Linked DNA regions of Arabidopsis thaliana. The protein of the gene in region 2 interacts with the protein of the main gene of each other region in a pairwise test. Each region holds a gene or a part of one and is shown on either strand. Other genes may lie near its edges.

Region 1 (3,600 bases), about 14 Mb from region 2:
TCAACAAAGGACACATTTTTTTTCCAATACGACCAAGTAAAGCCTAACTCAGATCCGTAAAATTGAAAAATTGAATTTGGGGGAAGAAACTAACAGAGGGATTAGAAGGATCGGAGGGACGATGTTGACTGAAATTGTGAGGATCAAAGGAAGGCAAATCACCCAGAATCGACGCCATTGGAATCGTGATTGATGATCTTTCCTTCTCTTCAGACAGAGAGAGAGAGAGACGAGAGATATAAAAGGGAGAAACGAAAAAGGGTTTATGGGCCCATTGGGCCTACCTCTAGAACCAGCTTCAAATTAATGTTTCTCTAAATAACAATAGAGATTCTGTTTTTTATATATGAATATGAATAAAGAAACAATTTATTTACAAAAAAAGAAAAAAAAAATATGAATAAACAATTATGGTTCATAGGAATATTTCAAGAAAATTAATTAAGTGCCTATATCAACAAGGTTCACTTTTTGATTCTATAATTTGTGTTGAAATTTTTTTAGTAAACGTATTTGAGTTAATCGGTTCAAGATATAATCTATTAAGAAATTATTTTCAAATTTGTGCGAGTGAAAATAAAATTATGGAATCTGCGGATGGTTTATGTTGGAGTGTTATATTTTTATAGAATCGATAAGTGAATTTGATTTCGTAAGTATTCTCCAAAATTGTTTTCTAGACTAGTCAAATTGATTAATTTTTTTTTATATTTTGATCTCAATTCACTTTCATTCATAAATATGAATTAATAAAATTCCATCTTCCTTCGATGACCATCGAAACTGAAAATATTTATCTTTCAATTGTGTAATTTCACTGTTTTTTTCCTTAAGAAAGAGTCTGAAAAAGATGAGGAAGAAAGAAAAACACATGCACTCTCTTCTTCGCATATATGTCTTTCAGTGAGATTAATGTTGGTTTTTTACATATGTAGCATTCATTATAGGTCAAAGGAAACTTCCACGTGTTTATAGAGTTAAAAGGCTTGATTTATTTTGGGGGTCAAATAAGATTCTTAACCACTACAACCATAATAACATGTTTATGTTGAATTAGTCGCTTATCCGTATTAAATTTAGAGCCACGCCACTTGAATTGTATGAGATACATAAAAAAAACAAGGAAACTAAATCATTCTACTTAGCATTTTACCAAGTTACATTGATTTTGACTCTAAATTCAACCTGAACATACGTTTTATGATGTATGTATGCAATGTCTACTACACCTTTCCACTATAAGTTCAATTAAATTGATAGGATTCAATGGTTTACTAGTATATGATCGTACAGTATATCATGTGTGTTCGAAAGAAAAACAAAAACAAAAGTCACTTAAAATATATAGTTGAATCAAGTACAATTGATGATCTATGAAACTTTTAATTAACATATACATGTGAGGTATGACTAAAAACACTAATTAATACTAATTACTTAAAGATATTTAGGTACGTATATTCGAGTAGTAAATATTTATTGAAATATAACCACATGTCGACATATTAGACCAAGCCAATACAAATCTCTCATATAAAAAAGAAGAAAAAGAAGAAAAAAAGAGATAGGAAAAATGAGGGAGATAATAATAAAAGTTTAATAACACAAGGAAACTAAATGGAGGTAAAAAGCAGTTGAACAGAAAATTAGGTGAACTTAGTTGGCCTCAATGCCCTTTTACCCTTACTTCTTCTTCTTCTCCTTCTTTTTTCTTCACAATCTATCATTACACATCTATAAATATTGTGAGAGATAGAGAAAGAAAGAGACTTATAACAATGGACAGAGAAGACATAAATCCTATGTTAAGCCGCCTAGATGTCGAAAACAACAACACCTTCTCTTCCTTTGTAGACAAAACCCTAATGATGATGCCTCCATCAACATTTTCCGGTGAAGTGGAACCTTCATCTTCTTCTTCTTGGTATCCAGAAAGCTTTCATGTGCATGCGCCGCCATTACCACCTGAGAATGATCAAATAGGTGAGAAAGGGAAGGAGCTGAAAGAGAAGAGATCGAGGAAAGTTCCAAGGATTGCGTTTCATACGAGGAGCGATGATGATGTTCTTGATGATGGTTATCGTTGGCGAAAATATGGGCAGAAATCTGTCAAGCACAATGCTCATCCCAGGTACTTTTACCTATATAGTTGTATTAATTAAGAGTATTTATAATTTTATTCGTGAATCTATGACATCATATTAAAATTGATTTCCAAATATTGGATCGACCAAAAACTTTCGTGGCTACAAAACATTAGGTTAGCTTAACAACCAGTACGATCTAGTCTTGTGTTTAACATTAAACTGATATATGTAGAAAATGTATCTTTTAGTTGCAAAAATACCATAGTTTTTAGGTTTAGCTAGTAATAGTTATATAACGAAATCAATCCCTTACTAAAGCCTATAACGAAATCTGTCGTACGTACTTTTCGAAAATTTATGATGTGATGATAATTTTCGAAAACAAAGCATGAGAATAGATGTGATTTTTAAAAAAGGATTATCCTATAGTTTTCTTTTCTGATAATTTGATTATCCTATAATATAGTTAATTATTGTGCAATTATATAATCTTAGAAACATGTATAAACCTGATATAGGGATTCTCTTTATGTGCTACCACATCCGAGTATGAAATTGTTTGGAAAGGGATGATTTACTCAAATATGTATAATGTATCCATCAATATTCTGGTCAAGAAAATGATCTTAATTAGTTCTAGATCAGTATAAAATATATAGTTTCTTATGGGCTTATGGCTCATATATATATGAAAACTTCATCCAGATGAAAAGTAATTTAATTTGCTTCCTTGTTTTTTATTCCTTTTTGCTAGGGAATCAAAAGCAGAGATAAATCCAATTCTACTTCATTTTATATGATATTTACGTTCTTAGCAAAAAATAGAAAAAAAAAATAGTTTCATGAGACTTCATAGAAATTAAAATCAGTCTTGCATAGACACCCAAAACTTCTACTTATTTTTCATATGAATTATAAAAAAAAATTTGAAGAATTAATAGATGAAACTATTAATCTTGTGTCACAAAATGCAGGAGCTATTACAGATGTACGTACCACACATGCAACGTGAAGAAACAAGTGCAGAGATTGGCAAAAGATCCAAACGTCGTCGTAACGACCTACGAAGGCGTTCATAACCATCCTTGTGAGAAGCTCATGGAGACTCTTAATCCTCTTCTCAGGCAACTCCAGTTCCTCTCCAGTTTCTCTAATCTTTGAATATATAATGGCTTAATTAATGGTGTAATTACTTAAAGGTGATTAAGGTGTTAATCACCCCACTGACCGTTTGACGACCCACATCTCCCAAGTGACAAGTCACAAGTGTGTAGATCAGATTTTAAACCAATGTAACAGTTACGACTTTTTACAAATGTTTCTGAATTTTATCCCCTGATTTCTGGTTTATGATCGGTTTACGCCGATGATTTGACAAATACCAGACAAAACAAGTTTAGTTACATATGTAAGTATGAAAAGGTAGTTTCCTCTAACTTCATTAAACCCACCCTCATTCTCTACAACTTCTTTGATATTTTTCTACATACTTAACAGAGAGAAGTTAGGGTCC
Region 2 (3,967 bases):
ACTGTTGAATTTATTTTGATTTTTCTGGGTTTCTTGCCTAGTCTTTACCTTGTATTAAACAATAGAATGATAAAGAAACCTCTGAAAATGTTTCTAGAGAAAAGTTTTCAGACAGCTTTGTTCCTTTTTAATTGTTATTCCTGCTAGTCTCTTTACATAAAAATCTGAAAATGTTATCCTAATGGTTCCGCATATACAATAATGGAAAACACACTTCTCTCAGGTCCGTGATATATTTTCGAAAGCAGCAGCTGCAGCTCCATGCATACTCTTTTTCGATGAATTCGATTCAATTGCTCCCAAAAGAGGACATGATAATACTGGTGTAACTGATCGAGTTGTTAATCAAGTAAGTTACTTCAAAGTCTGAGCAAATTCTATCCAAGTCAAAGTTCAAACATCTCATGTCATATTTTTCTTTTGCGTAGTTTTTGACAGAACTGGATGGAGTTGAAGTTCTAACAGGGGTCTTTGTATTTGCTGCAACCAGGTATTCACACCCGAATAAGTCTATCTTGCATATCATATTTTGTGTTCGATGTATCATATAATCAACTGCAAACGGTGGATTCTTCTGAGTTGATAGTTAATAATAAATCTTAAATATGATAATCTTGAAGCCTGTGCTCAGTCCTCAATTTATGTTTTTCATTACATACAAAAGAGGGATAATGACTTTATAATGGATACATGACTCAATTAACAGTAGACCAGATTTACTTGATCCTGCCCTCCTAAGGCCTGGCCGGCTTGATCGTCTTCTTTTGTGCGACTTTCCTTCCCCACCAGAACGATTAGAGATTCTTACAGTTCTTTCTAGAAAGGTTAGTACTCTCAGTTACATCATTTCTGCTAATCATTTTTGTCCTCAAGTCTCATGTAAAGTATGTATGCTACATATCTGAACGACCATTAACTAGAATCTTCTATGGCTAAGCGATTTCCATTGGATTCTGACATTCAATTGATGGTCTCCCTAGACAATATGTAGATAAGATTTATCTATATATATTACAAGTAGTTAAGATGACAAAAAATCTTTCTGCATTTTTACAGCTTCTGATGGCTGATGATATTGACCTAGAGCCTATAGCTTTGATGACTGAAGGCTTCAGTGGAGCTGATCTTCAAGCTCTTCTCTCAGATGCGCAACTTGCAGCTGTACACGAGTATCTGAACAGAGAAGATAAACCCGAGACCGGAACTACACCAATAATAACTGATCCTCTTCTGAAGTCGATTGCTTCTAAAACTAAACCATCGGTTTCCGAAACCGAGAAACAAAAGCTCTATGACATATATAGCCAGTTTCTGGATTCAAGAAAATCGGTATCTCTCTCATCTCCACTCTAATTCCTCTTCCCTTTTATACAAACCCAGTTGTTGATTACTAACAACATCAAAATCTTATTTTGCTTGTAGTCAAGAGAAGCAAAGGGCAAAAGAGCAACCTTAGCATAATCAAAGGTATTACAAAGACACAAAAAGGAATGGTTACATTGTAGAAATCACATCATGTTGTAAAATTTGCTTTATGATAGATATGCCCAGTTGTTAGCATTAGAGTAAAAGTGGTTGAAGTTTGGAATAAAGATAGTTAGATACTAGAGAGACACATGGTAAGTTCTACAAGATTCAAACGACTATAGACATCTCTACAGTAATAAGATTAATACATTTCTTTTGGCAATTTTAGAATTTTAAAAGCTGTAATATTTTTGGTCAAAACAAGATAAAAATGGTATTCAAGTTCCGTAATTTTGTGTATGAAATGAAATAAAAACGCATAGAAAAGAGTCAACTATTATCGTGCAACAAAATTTATCAGTCCAAAGCAAAAAAGGAAAAGAAACGACAACGTATTCGTAACTCACAGGTAAAGGTTGTTGCCTCCTATCTTTGACAATGCCAGTGAATAATGTTGTTAATTGTTATGGCCATAACTTGAAATGAGTCAACAAAATTATCCACAGAGGACGAATAGAGTCAGTTAAGAAACTGTCATGAGTACAGTTAATAATATCTCATCACATTCAACAGAGACAGCCAAAAAAAAAAAAACGATTGGTTTATAAATTGGGCGGGGGAGAGAGGTTGCTGTGACGTCTCTCTCTACCCATCTCCTTAACCGAAACGGCATGCATTTCTTCCTTCTTTAACTTCCTTTCTCCATTCCTTCACGACAACAATGAAATAAACTCATCACAAATTATGTCATTTTGATGTTTGACCAAACAAACTTAGTTCTATAAACAAAATAATTTATTATCTTTTTTGTGTGACAAAAACCCAAACCCAAAAACGGTTAAGAACAAAGGGATAAAAGAGTCCTTTTCCTCTTTCCTCTCCATATTCTTCTCCTGATTTTCCTCTTTTCATTTTCTTCTCTTTTCTGGTAATATGAACAAGTTCTGAGCTGTGACCATTAGACCAACAACAGTCTTTATATCTTCTTTTAGTTCTTTCTCTCTCTTTTTATTTCCTTCTTCTGTTTTAAGTTCTATTTCTTCAGAAAAAAATCCGGCATTCTCATTCGATTTTACCTCCACTTGTTGCCTCGGCTTGCTCTTCAGGTATGCCTTTTGACCTTTTTATCATTCTCTCTGACTCCTGTAGGGTTATCAAATCGTAAATTGAATGCTACATAGAAACTTTTATTAACAGTTCTCTCATCATATGAACTAGTAACCACCATAAAGATGATGATTATGACGATGAAGATAGATTTAGGACATGAAAAGCCCTCTTCATTGTCATTCCTACAATTAGTAAGAGCACCAAACTTTGATATAGATATTTGAGTATACAACAAGTCAAAGCAAATTTAGGAGAAGCCAATTTTTTATTATTTTTCCCCACATAAGAATCTAGTGCTCTTGTAAAAGTGGTGAGGTTTGAGTACACGACTACCTCATCTTTTGTATCTGTAGCTATTTATGTTTTGAGTTGCTTGTTTTTGAAAAATTATGACGAAGGAAATCTTTAACAAATACCTAATTTTGGATTACAAGAAGACTTCTGAGTATTTCTAACCTTCCATCAATCTAATCTCTGAACTCACATGAAGTTGACATTCCTCGGTTCTCTTGATAGGACCTTTCATGTTTGAATATTTTTTCATCTTCTCATCAACTGCATAAACGGTAGTTTTGTTGCAGGTCAGAGACCAAAATAGGTGTAAATCAAAGGTTGTTTTGTCAGAGAAACACTTACATATGAATAGCAAAGGGAGTCAAAACGTTGCAACAACCTGCAAGCCTGTCACTACATTTGTCCAAACTGACACCAACACTTTCAGAGAAATTGTGCAGCGCTTGACAGGTCCAACAGAGAACAACGCTGCAGCAGCAACACCAGAAGCAACAGTGATAAAAACCGCCATACAAAAGAGGCCAACTTCAAAGCTCCATGAGAGAAGGCAATGTATGAGGCCAAAGCTTGAAATTGTCAAACCTCCTCTGAGCTTTAAGCCCACTGGTACGACACCATCATCTAAATCTGGTAATACCAACCTTTTAACAAGTCCAGTGGGCACCCCTTCTTCATTGTTCTCTAACTTGTCCTTGATAGAAGGGGAACCAGATAGTTGTACAACAAACATCGAAGAAGAGGAGAAAGCCATTAAAGAAAGACGCTTTTACTTGCATCCATCGCCAAGGTCTAAACCGGGGTATACAGAACCAGAATTGCTTACTTTGTTTCCTTTAACATCTCCCAATTCGAGTGGCAAACCATAAACCCGACAGATTAATCATAAGTTTGTTCTCTGCCTACTATCCCAAAGATTATGTACATGTAGAGTTTCACAACAATATCATTGGAAGAGGAAGATTGTTCTCTTACATTGTTCACTCAAGATTTGTCTGTGTCATATGTGCAATTGCTTTGTGTAGACCATCATGATCTAGCTTCGCAGCGTTTTAACAATTTTCATCGATTAAAACACCACAGGCTCTTTCATCTGAAG

What was found. The genes of interacting proteins can lie anywhere in the genome.
Region 1: the proteins of AT5G08480 (region 2) and WRKY24 interact in binary tests that used the Arabidopsis thaliana proteins (3 or more experiments, as listed by UniProt).

Annotation. Positions count from the first base shown.
Region 1 is NC_003076.8:16,622,442-16,626,041, forward strand, and holds WRKY24 (WRKY DNA-binding protein 24), read left to right. Parts: upstream 1-1,715; 5' UTR 1,716-1,778; coding exon 1,779-2,131; intron 2,132-3,061; coding exon 3,062-3,248; 3' UTR 3,249-3,536; downstream 3,537-3,600. Other genes in the region: AT5G41560 (DET1 complexing ubiquitin ligase), read right to left, coding at 95-178. UniProt on the Arabidopsis thaliana protein: Transcription factor. Interacts specifically with the W box (5'-(T)TGAC[CT]-3'), a frequently occurring elicitor-responsive cis-acting element.
Region 2 is NC_003076.8:2,741,271-2,745,237, forward strand, and holds AT5G08480 (VQ motif-containing protein), read left to right. Parts: upstream 1-2,048; 5' UTR 2,049-2,573; exon of another isoform or gene 2,574-3,147; 5' UTR 3,148-3,215; coding exon 3,216-3,737; 3' UTR 3,738-3,841; downstream 3,842-3,967. Other genes in the region: PEX1 (peroxisome 1), read left to right, coding at 224-349, 429-490, 707-824, 1,057-1,329, 1,423-1,461; SLG1 (Tetratricopeptide repeat (TPR)-like superfamily protein), read right to left, coding at 3,938-3,967. UniProt on the Arabidopsis thaliana protein: May modulate WRKY transcription factor activities.